Yarrowia lipolytica: one gene and its partners. The protein of the gene in region 4 binds, or shares a complex with, the protein of the main gene of each other region. Links are inferred from orthologs where the notes say so. Each region holds a gene or a part of one and is shown on either strand. Other genes may lie near its edges.

Region 1 (2,538 bases), on a different chromosome or scaffold from region 4:
CACAGGGGATTGGGAAGGGCGTGTGAGACTTTGTCTCATAAAATGGAGGAGGTCTGACGTTGGTTGGTATGGGGTGGAGATGACATTTTGAGGGCATACGACGATAGCTATGAGATTCTCTACTTGATCAAACACCGTCTTCTAGAACGGAACCTCAAGTTGATACAAACAAGAGTTGCTCCTTATCTCGAAATAGCACTTTGACATGTTATTTCTGGATGGCTGAATCTATGATGGAGTACAATAGTGACGAAGTAAGATAGTGATGAAGTATGGAGGCAAGCTCTATCCCCACAGAACAAGTACATACGGTACAAGTATTCGTACGAGTGCTGTAACTACATCTGTGACAACATTCATTCATTATCTATAATCATCGATAAATTACTTTCTTGGGCTTACTTGTACTCGCACTACAACCACTCCTTGTTTCCAAGCTACCCATCCCACACTACAGCTTGTGAATACCAAACATTTAAATACTATATACAAGCCATGGTTACGGTACGGGTACGGTAAGCACAGATTACAAGACTCGGGGAGCCAGAGAAGCGACCTTGGTGAAGCCTCGCTCTCGCACCTCCTTGGCAACGACTCCGTTGAGTCGGTTACCCACGGGCTCGTTGGCGTCGTTGATCAGCACACAGGCGTTGTCATCAAACTGGATGTAGGAGCCGTCGGGTCGTCGGATCTCCTTCTTGGTTCGCACAATGACAGCCCGCTTGATTTCACCCTTTCGGGCCTTCTGGGTGATGGAAGAGCCGTTAGGAATGGGTCGGGCCCGCTTGACGACACAAACAATCTTGTCGCCGACACCGGCGTAGTTCTTGGGTGACTTTCGCAGCACCTTGATGCACTCGACCAGCAGAGCACCAGAGTTGTCGATGCAGTTGATCAGAGACTTGAGGTACAACATGGTGAGTGAGGTTGTGTGTAGTTGTGTTAGATCCTAACTGAGATGTTGAAATCTGGGTGAAAAGTTGGATTCTCGAAACCTTAAATGACAGTGTGTATGAGCAGAGCATATGACTAAGGAGGGCGACAATTAGCGGAGCCCTGGAAGAGGATTAGGTCATGTGAGTTTTTTCCAGGTATTAATAATATAAAGCGCCTATTGAATATAATTGCCTGTTGAGATTGTGGGTTTGTCACTTAAATGGGGATGAGATCCATAAGTGAGATGTATGCTAAGAATTTGGGAAAAGAGTTGGCCAAAAAAAGTGGAACTTTGTTACAGTATTGTAGAGATCAGAAACATGAAGGAGTATGATACAGCATGGGTTCCAGACATGCTGGAGATAGGCTGTAAAATACATTGAGTACCAATTGGTCAGCTGAATTGATCCCGCTTACTAAAATTCAACCAATATACCTAACAAGTGGTTCCACTATCATATACTGGAACGTGCCAGCTATGTCAAGCTGGTACAAGTACGAGTACAGTATGTACAGTACCTGTAGCGCAGCTAAGCCACCGGAGCCGACGACACTCTTGCATCTCAAATATCTAAATCTCCACGGAACCAATCACTCTTGGTGATCATGATGTCATTGTAGGGTGTGTAAGTGTTTTCAGTACGAAGGGAAACGCCAGACACTAACTACAAGTACTGTACTTGTAGTGTTTCTGCTTCAGTTATCTCGCCTCGTTCTCTCTCAGCCCACGTGACTTGAAATACAGCCTCGGAATCCAGCGCCAATCAATCCTCAGCTCGACCAAACCCCGCGCCACGCGTAGATCACGTTAGTACAAGCGCATTTCATTTTACACGAATCTCGCAGTGCGTAAATACAGTTCGGAGCTTGTGAAGCCATGTCAACAACCAATAGTTGGGGTTGTATATAGGCGCGAGGGTAGATGACGTGAACAGCTTGCTTATAGGGTACTGTCAAATCCTCCGGGAGTATCTCTGATCTTCTTCCATATCACCTCAAACCCCTGACCATGTATGCTGTATGCTGTTTTCTCATTCCACTGTGTCTGACATCCACTCATATTTGCTGTGTTGGGAGAGCCAGCCAACCTTGTTTGCTTATCCCTGTTTTTCCAACTCAGCCTGTGGGCCTGTTTTTTCCAGAATTTAAACACACATTCCATGTGTAAATAGAGTGACTTGCGAGGTGATCGAGATATGGAATTGATGTATGGCACGTCCGCTGGATCGCAGAATTGCAATGGATCTATATCAGAGCACGTGCCATTGCTCCATAAAGACCAAAAGTGGACACTTTACCAGCGCGCCATTTATTTTAGCGGCTCTAAAAAGGACCCCCCTCCCTCTTCCGTGTCTCTCGGTTAGCTCATTGCTTACCAAAAGGGTAGCCAAGCAATAGTTCATGTAATGTGAACAGGTGGATTTATGCGCATGTTGCAGCGTACTGTGACATTTTCTCAAGGGGGCCGAAGAGGGTGTTTCGGGGACCAAAAAGAGGCGGGAAAGTCGCTGGATTAATCACGTGACCACGAACTTGGGTGGTGCCTTCTCAAATCCCCGCTCGATCACCCCAAACTCCTCATTGCTACGATACCTACACCAA
Region 2 (3,078 bases), on a different chromosome or scaffold from region 4:
CAATATCTGGTCTGTTTCTCTCAACTATCTGCTGAGTAACTGTAGTATATATATCGAACCTCTCAGTAGCTGTTGATGAAAGAAACGCGGGCCACAAATGACTCTGTTGATCTTGCGGAAATCACTTAGGTGATAATTAGTGATATTGCCGAGGCTACCTTGTGTGTGATTCTGCGTCTCAATTCTTGTACGTGACATCTCAGTCTGACCTAGGTCACGTGCACCAATACTACAGGTAGACTATCGATCCACCTCTATGGCAGTGGGGACATCTTCTGCTGACATTGCGATTCAGGTTATATGTTGCTTTGGAAGGATCCTTTTGGTATATGCGTTCTCTTACTACAGTATGTTCGATAGTAATCTGGTGATGCTCCTACCCTCTTGTATTACAACACATCGACCTGCCGATCTGACACTCATACCTACTGATCTGGCTGTGTCTCTATCCACGCTCGTTTGCTGGTTGGCTTTGATTGTTCATTCAATGCATTCATCATTCACATTTGCTATGTGCTTCACACTTGGTTGGTTGGTGTGCATCCCCTCATATATACAAGTTTAATTCTGCTGGACCACCTTCTGGGCGAACTCATGGGCGGCCTTCTCGCCCTTCTTGAGGAGAATAGCGCCCACCAGGGCGTAGACGGATCCGCTGGTGATCTTTGATGAAGGAGTGGCGTTCGTGACTCCCTTGGTGTTCCAGTAGACGAGTTTTTCGAGGCCGTTTTTTGCGGCAAACCCAGACAGATCAAAGTTGAGCGACTCCAGAGCCTTGACGGGGTCGCTTGAGGCCTCCTTGGACAGGTTGTGAGAGAGAACCGAGACTGGGAAAAACTTTCGGCCCACAAACGCCAGTTTTTCGTTGTGAGAGGGCAGTCCGCCAGCAAAGGACTTGTGTGTGAGCACCTGGAGCAGCAGAGAGTCCTCCAGGCCGCTGACGGAGTCCGACAGGGACGATTTCAGAGCATCAATCTCCTTTTTGGATTCGGACAGACCATAAGGACGGGTCGAGTCCTTGGCCAAAACGTCCAGAGTCACGGGACCCTGCAGAATCGCCGAGCGGGGGATTCGGCGCTGCTGGTACGACAATTGCCGGGTGAAAAGACGGCCAAACATGGTGGGTGTGCTGTTTGTGGAACTCTGCAACGTGAGTGTGTATCTGTGCTTGTGTGAAAATTTCATGTAGGGTAAGTGGATAAGGTTTGGGACCTGAGAAGGGACGACTGCTTGGGGGGTGAAATGTGAGAGGGTGGTGAGTTCGATTCTCGGTGGTGTCTTGTGGGAAATGTTGGAATACCGGTGCCAGAGGAGTAGAAGTTGTAAAAAGGGGTGTAAAATGAAAGGGAAAAATGGGCATACAATTTTCTTGGAAATATTTGAGTTTACTGGAGCTGATTTGAGTGACTTGTTGTAATGTTGATAGACGAGGTATTCAACTAGAGTCCAAGTACAGTGAAGCTAACTAACGAAGACCAGGAGTGAGAGATGATCTGGTATCGGACTGATCCAAGCGATAATGAGACCTTTACACGACATAAACAAAAACCTCGAGTGGGATATCTATAATGACTACAAGTATCGGTACAGTACATTCTCGTATGATACATCTTGTACAGTGTACTTGTACATGCACATGATGGTTATCGATAGTACATTTCGGACAACTTCTGCATAGAATATTTCTAACAATTATACATAGAAAAAGGAGGATAAATACTAGAAATCTGTTCATAATGAATCTCAGATTGATTAGGACAACTATACCGTTCCCCCACATGACAATACAAGTGCTCTTACCATATCTATGGTCGCTGTCTTTGTCTGTAGATGTATGTACTGGTATATGAAGGTCCTAAACCAATGGTTGCTACTGTACTTGGGGTATATACAACTGATTTTGTATTCATCAATAATATTATCGTATTTTTCATTATATTTTTCTCGTTTTCATTTCTCATGAGTGATTGAACACGGGCATACTTGTTCGGTAGCTACTCGTACTCGTATTCGTACTCGTATTCGTAATTAGTATCTGGAATTCACGACAGTGTATGTAGCGGAGGTTCCAGGTGTGAGCTATGTTAAATCTTGAGGACAAGGAGGTCAGCATGTATGATTAGCTCACATCTCACAGCAGCTTCTCAGCTAGTGCTGCCAGGTTACTGACACCACAAATGGGGCACGAAACTTCCCCACCATCTTTGCTGTTGTGAATAGGTGGGATGCAGGTAGTACTGCCTTGCGAGGTTTTCTTCAGACTGCTTATCGGCCAGAATCATTTCCGTATCGTCAGGTTTACAGATCTTGCGATGAGTGTACAGCTCGTCAATGTACACCTTGTCCATACACAGGGTGCATGTTCCGGAGCGTCTCACCGGTGGGTCGTGGTTCATGTTGGTAGTGTTGGTATTTCGCATCGTGTGTTACGGAAAGATAGAGGGGGGAGGGGACCCATGTCTTTATATATCTTTGCAGACGTGATAATACGCGACCATCACATGAGGTTTGCCAACTGTCCGGATGCATGATATCCAGTGGCAAAGGCGTGGTAAAGAGACCTAAGACACCAACTGGTGTATCAAGGAAGACTGAGCAAGAACATAACGGAGAAACCCCAGAGAGATGACGACGCAAAAAATCTGGGAGATGATAACCACCACAAACTCCATCAAGACCACCACAAACGTCTCGTCCGACACAAAACAATGGGTCCACAACCACGACACTCGTAATTATCGTGTGTTTGCTGAACCTCTTTTGGGTGCTGTCAGCCCATGTTGTGTCTTGTGATACGGAGCAAAGAGGGAATCTAAAGGGGAATCTAAAAGGGAGACTATTTACCCCGGATTAGCAACCCTCAGAAACACAGAAACACGTCCTTTTGAAACGATCCCCGGGACGAGCCAGCGTATTTCAGACATGGGGCCACTGGTTCTGTGTCACTAGTGTCGGTGCAAGTTTCAATTTTCTTTTTGTCGCCTGAAAACCGCAGTATTTTGACCACAAGGATCGTTGGAGACCGCGTGGTTCGGCATTTGAAAAACGTCATGTGACCACACGTTCCTTTGTCTAGAA
Region 3 (2,972 bases), on a different chromosome or scaffold from region 4:
CGAACCGCTGGATGATTTTGTATTTCGGCTCGACCGACATTGGTGATGGTGATAATGAAGCGATTGGGTTGCAACTTAAACCCATGATGTGAGCAACCCGATTTTGAAAGAACCGAGTACATTGTGCCCTAGAACGAATGAGGATGAAAGGAATAGAGGGGTAGTATTATTAGACGCTGACTAATCGATTGCCCCTATCAAAATCTGTCTACTTCTCTTCTCTTGTATAATTAACTGCTTCTTGTTGTGTCCGTGCTCACGTATTACTAATACCCATCGTCTGAAGTCTGATCTGAGACGCTATAACATGTCAAACCATCCAGAGGCGATGATACTATAGTTGATAAGTACTGTATAGCAGGAACAGCAACAGAACCATTGTATGTTATTACAAATGCTCACGTGATACTTCAAACACCCCAGTTGGCTACAAGTTCCGGTACAAGTTCAAGGGATCACCTACTGCTCCTAAGCCCAGACCAGAGCTCCAACACACCCTATTCCGCCCCGTTTAAGTCATATCAACATTCTTATGCTCTATATACAAAGTTCCGTTTCCTCCATTTAATCCTTCTTGACCACAACGCCAGCCTCGTCATGGTAGGCCACGAGGTTCTGCTTGTAGGGATGCTCGGTGCCCTCAAAGACCTTGAGCCGGGCGATTCGGCCCCGCTTGAGCTTGTTTCGGGGCAGCATACCGGCAACGGTTCGTCGCAGAACCTCGCTGACTCCCTGGTTCTCAATCACTCGCTTGACAGCCACATGGTGAGAGTGACCAGGCTGAGACGACTGCACAAAGTATTCCTTCTGCTGCAGCTTGGAGCCCGAAAATCGCAGCTTGTCGGCGTTCACGACAACCACATAGTCGCCGCAGTCGTGGCCGGTGTTGTACACGGGCTTGTGTTTACCCTGGAGAGTCTGGGCGATGGAGGTGGCCAGTCGACCAAGGGTTCGCTGCTCCTTGGCCACGTCCACAAAGTGCCAGGTTCTGGAAAAAGCCAGACGTGCCTGGGTTAGTAAGAAAACAAGGGTATGTTGACGATTTGCTCAGAAGACACCTGCTTCCGCCGCTCAAATACTCACTTTACCAATAGTCTGTGACATGTTGATTCGTGATGGTGTGTGAAATTTTCGAACGTTAATTTGAGCGGGATGAGGGTTGTGGGAGGAGATGAGTAAGCAACTTTATTCGGGAGTATGGCGATAGACAGTAGTACAAGTACAAGTATGAATACGAGAGCTTCCAGGAGGAGATGAACTGAGAAATGAGCTGATGGCCTGTGAAGAAGCCCTTCTGATGCCACGTCATTGTTTTGTGGTCCAAATGAAGCTGTTGGAAGGAAAATGATCCTCATAGCTGGATCGATAACTTCAGGAGAGCTGAGAGATATAAAAGATGGATATTGATGGAATACATCGGGGTTCTGTTCTGAGTGCAATGGTATTGTTGTTGGTGTCTTTTGATTAGCTAATCACCAACTTATACTCCAGTCGGTCAGTTGTATTTGACGCCTTAAGATTGTCTGTTGATACATTTAGAACTGGGTCATGATCTCGACGGAGAATGGCAATCGATTTTTGTGAGATGGTTAAGTACTCATACTCGTACTCGTAATATGTTGGATTTCCTTTTTTTTTTTTTTTTTTTTTTTTTTTTTTGGTCAGGAAGAGTTGCAGGTTTCTTTTATGTTGGAGAGGGTCCGTCTTTTTTTAGAACCAAAAAATCCAGTTAATCGACCTTTTTTAAACCTGCCTTTGTGTGTTTTGTTGTTGGATTCTTATTTTAGAATATGGGGGAGGAAAAAAAAAAACGAGACAAACAAGCTAATATAAAAATATATATACTGTATATATATTGTTGTATATATACTGTAATGTATATATATAATATATACATAAAAAAATTGCAACCAGTCACCCCCTTTTAAATATCGGAATTTGTACCAGGCCAAGTCCACCTATCATCAGTGATTAATAGCACCAAATTAATTCTGACGCCTCAGAAATGCGGCCTCCATTTGGCTGGGTAAGACATTGGTGAGGCAGGAGAGGAGATGTTAGCCAAGGCGAGGGGAGAGGACACGGTTTTATGTGACGTACTGTACCCGAGGTGCCATGGGGGCTATCATGGAGGGTATAGAGGTTGTTTGAGTGGTCGCGTTAATGGTGGCGGGGTTCCTTCTCTATGTTTTTTCGTCGTATCTACTCCGAAATTGCTATATCATGGTCATTCTCACTGCCGCGTTAGTTCACAGGTGGGAGGTGTAGTTTTTCAGATTTTTTCAGATTTCGTCTTGTCTTTCTGCAGCAACGAAACGCCGAACAAGGGCCACCCAGAAACCCAGTTTACGTGCAGTTGGTCCGTCTAATCGGGAACGGTATCCGCAAGAGACAAGAGGCTGCGCCAAGTGATTGGTCATCGCAAATCGGGTGTGGAAAACTGGAGATGTAGAAGCGTCAACTCGTGCCGGTGGTGGTAACATTCTAGAGGTGGAGCCGGTGGCGGAGCCACTGTCGTATAATGGAGATAAAGTCACGGCTCGTAAATCACACTTTGGGAAGACGGTGCTCAGTCGCCGGATCGCACACGGCTGTTCCGACGCTAGATAAGAGTCATAAGCTTGTCAGTAACGGTCTCCGTGGGGGACAATGGAGGACCAAAAAGCCGACGGAGTGAACTCGGGGGGAAAGTGGGGGTCTCCAGTGAAAATTCCGTCTTCTAACAGCTCGAAACAGCTCCCCAACGACTACAAAGCACAACTAAGGGCCCAAAATAAAGTGTGTCAAAAACCGACGTAAAAAATAGGATGCAACAAAGTCAAAATGCAAAAACCCAAAATACGCGGCCGCAACGGCAAGTATGAGGAATCCTCCGAGCGTCTCAAAAGCACTGGGATACTCAGGATGCAGACCATGCCAAGCGAGGTCAAAGCGTCACAGCGAGCGACCCCGCTCCGCAGTCGCTCCGTTAT
Region 4 (2,916 bases):
CAGGTCCGATCTGCCATCAAGACTGCCGAGGTATCTGAGCTGGCTGATAACCTGCTCCAGAAGCGACGAGAGTATTGGGCTGCTCAAGGAAAGGTGCCCAAGCTGAACTAGAGTGGGGGAAGATGGAATCGATACCAAAAAGGCTATGCATGTAACATTATTAATCTTCAAATACAGAATGTGCTTGTACAGTATGTACATTAATAATCGGTAAGGTTGGCTCATGATTGGCTAGGCGGATAATGATCCAGCTGTAGGTGAATTGGAAAGAGTGCGATGGTGCGAGAGTACTTGTACTCACAAATTGTATCGTGAGCTAAGTGGCTGTAAAATGTGACGCATATTCTAAATCCGTTCGTTGTTTGTATTTGTCAGAGTGTGGTGTCCAATGTCTTACGACTGCACGCTGAGACTGGTACAAGGTCTATATGAAACAACCCCAGTCAGGCTATACATATGAGAGACTCAAGCCCCAACGTGCTAATACTATTCCCGTAGCATTACTCCTTCTCCTTTCCGTTATCAATATCATATACTATATACATTCGTTTTACAAGACCTCGATTCCGTTGTTGTTGAAACCGGAAGCCACGTTGGAGCTGGAATCCTTGAGAGTCTTGATTCGCTCTTCCCAGCCGGGCTTGGTAGTTCGCTTGACGGCGGTCTTGGTGTACTTGGGTCGCTCGTAGCCCACCAGGTAGCCTCGGTTCTCGGGGTTCATGTAGTACTCCACGTCCTTTCGCCGCAGAGGATGGGGCTGCTTGGGGATTCGACCAGTCTTGTCGAGCAGTCGCTTCTCGTTGAGCTCGATCTTGAGACCCACGGGCGAGTAGTACTTGGCGGTGAACTTGCCTCCGGCAGCCTCGATCTGCTCAATAGCAGCCTGGGAGGCCTTGTTGGAAGTCAGGTCGATCTTTGCGGTGAGAGGCACGTCTCGTCGGGCGAAAATCTTGATTCCGAGCTTGGAAGAGCACAGACCAGACAGAACCAGGTCTCGAACGCCCAGGGGCTTAGAGGCATCAAGTCGGCCATCGTTGATCCACTTCTGAATGTCGGAAACAGACACTCCGACAAACTTCTCACGTCGAGGAATGGACAGCTTGGGGTATCGCAGATACCATCGCTGCTGGTGACCGGAGAAACCCAGAGGAATACTTTCTCGGGACTTCTGACCCTTCTGTCCTCGCTTGGAGGTCTTACCTCGCCCAGACTGCACACCTCGACCCACCTTCTGGTTGTTCTTGTGGTTGATGTCCTTGAGCTTAGTCATGACCATGGACGAGTACGACCGGGTTCCCGTGGGAACAACCAGGCTGGTCCACTTCTTCATAAGCGCGTTCATTGTGGGTGGTGTTTTGTACCTATGTCGGATGCTCGATTTTTCAACCTACACACCGTAGTGTAAATTTGCAACTTTATTTTAGACCATACCGAATGTACGAACGGTGGTCAATTTGAGGGTGTTTTTGTGAGAAAAGGGGTAAATTTCTTTGAGGAAATCCAAATTTCTGCTTCTCATCAGTATATTTCCCAGTTTTCACATCTGAAATATTTGTGCAAGACACTTGAATGACACTCCTAAATACCTCATACCGCTGTAAGTAAATACCATACTGATTAGTAAGCATTTGATGTGCGACCAACTCTGACTACTTGTACTGACTTTTTTTCAGTCTTAAGAACATGCCCGCTATTAGTGTTTAATCAGGTATCTGGCTCTTCCGCCACGTTGTTAAACCCCTATAACAACTCAGACACACCTGCATCTTCTAAACACACGATACAGTAGACAGTAGGTACATACATATGTGGAGAGAACCTTCACTTCACACTCTATCTCATCTGAGACCAGTACTTCATACCCATTACTCATACCAAGGCCCAATTGTAGATGGGTATTCCTGGATACTATACGCAATTGAAGTCGCTCTATGTGCGCAAACAGCTGAAGGAGTTTGCCGATGGCCGGGTCTTCATCGATGGTCACTCCATGAGCCATATGGTGACTGAACGATGTATGCCTGGTGCCAAGTACGATCTTAGGGCAGTGAGGTGTCACATGGAAGTCGTGCTCAGAAAGTGGCTTCTAGCCGGGTGGAAAATCGAGATGATTCTGTTCGATGGATTGACTCCATTATCAAAGTTCAAAGAGACTGAGAGACGACGAGATATCCGAGTCAAAGAAGGAATAGAGGCAAAGTCGTTCTGTCTCCCAGCAGGATGCGCAGATGTGTGTTCAGATACCATTCTGACAGAGTTTCCAGACATTTCTTGTCGAATTGCCCCCGGTGAATGCGATGATATACTCGCCACTCTGGTGTACAACTATGCTACACAGAACCCTGGTAAGCCAACCTACGTCATGACGAACGACACGGATTTCTGTGCGTTTGACTTTCCCGACAATGTTGTCATCCTCAACACGTCTGTGTTTGGAATCGACGCAGGTGTCATCAATACCCTGAACCCTGCCAAAGTTCTCAAGGAGCGGTTCGATCTGTGTCCTAGTCTAGCAGGGTATGGAGCCATGGAATTCACTAAGCTTAAAAGTGTGGTTGAAGGACGATGTGGGGTACAAGAAGTTTGCCGAGTCTCAAATGGCCATTCTACAGAGGTTCAGTTTCGGGTCGGCACAGGATTACATCCAAGATGAGCATGCATCACGGGTATACAGGCTGCTATCAAATACAAATGAGAACAACGCGCACCGAGTGGCAAATGCGTGGTTCGACTATGGCCAGCTATATACATTTCTACAGATTCTATGCGAGCCCGAGGAAGCCGAATACGCATTTGATGCTGGCAGGAAATGGCGATCTGTGGCATACGACTTGATTCTTGAGAAGATAGGTGCAGAGCCCACTGAGGATCAGTTTCAAGAGCATGGCAGAAAGGGAAATGTGACGCACTGTGCGA

The links.
Region 1: YALI1_E00318g (region 4) and YALI1_F23351g share a complex: the UniProt entries of both Schizosaccharomyces pombe proteins name them as parts of the mitochondrial large ribosomal subunit. The link is inferred for Yarrowia lipolytica from reciprocal best matches to the Schizosaccharomyces pombe genes mrpl10 and mrpl38.
Region 2: YALI1_E00318g (region 4) and YALI1_F09896g share a complex: the UniProt entries of both Schizosaccharomyces pombe proteins name them as parts of the mitochondrial large ribosomal subunit. The link is inferred for Yarrowia lipolytica from reciprocal best matches to the Schizosaccharomyces pombe genes mrpl10 and mrpl15.
Region 3: YALI1_E00318g (region 4) and YALI1_D12750g share a complex: the UniProt entries of both Schizosaccharomyces pombe proteins name them as parts of the mitochondrial large ribosomal subunit. The link is inferred for Yarrowia lipolytica from reciprocal best matches to the Schizosaccharomyces pombe genes mrpl10 and mrpl23.

The regions. Positions count from the first base shown.
Region 1 is NC_090775.1:2,333,501-2,336,038, reverse strand, and holds YALI1_F23351g (mitochondrial 54S ribosomal protein uL14m), read right to left. Parts: upstream 917-2,538; coding exon 527-916; downstream 1-526. UniProt on the Schizosaccharomyces pombe protein: Component of the mitochondrial ribosome (mitoribosome), a dedicated translation machinery responsible for the synthesis of mitochondrial genome-encoded proteins, including at least some of the essential transmembrane subunits of the mitochondrial respiratory chain.
Region 2 is NC_090775.1:987,734-990,811, reverse strand, and holds YALI1_F09896g (mitochondrial 54S ribosomal protein mL57), read right to left. Parts: upstream 1,186-3,078; coding exon 562-1,185; downstream 1-561. UniProt on the Schizosaccharomyces pombe protein: Component of the mitochondrial ribosome (mitoribosome), a dedicated translation machinery responsible for the synthesis of mitochondrial genome-encoded proteins, including at least some of the essential transmembrane subunits of the mitochondrial respiratory chain.
Region 3 is NC_090773.1:1,273,190-1,276,161, reverse strand, and holds YALI1_D12750g (mitochondrial 54S ribosomal protein uL13m), read right to left. Parts: upstream 1,105-2,972; coding exon 1,084-1,104; intron 1,009-1,083; coding exon 565-1,008; downstream 1-564. Other genes in the region: YALI1_D12760g (uncharacterized protein), read right to left, coding at 1-85. UniProt on the Schizosaccharomyces pombe protein: Component of the mitochondrial ribosome (mitoribosome), a dedicated translation machinery responsible for the synthesis of mitochondrial genome-encoded proteins, including at least some of the essential transmembrane subunits of the mitochondrial respiratory chain.
Region 4 is NC_090774.1:30,276-33,191, reverse strand, and holds YALI1_E00318g (uncharacterized protein), read right to left. Parts: upstream 1,343-2,916; coding exon 551-1,342; downstream 1-550. Other genes in the region: YALI1_E00337g (uncharacterized protein), read left to right, coding at 1-111; YALI1_E00306g (uncharacterized protein), read left to right, coding at 2,520-2,916. UniProt on the Schizosaccharomyces pombe protein: Component of the mitochondrial ribosome (mitoribosome), a dedicated translation machinery responsible for the synthesis of mitochondrial genome-encoded proteins, including at least some of the essential transmembrane subunits of the mitochondrial respiratory chain.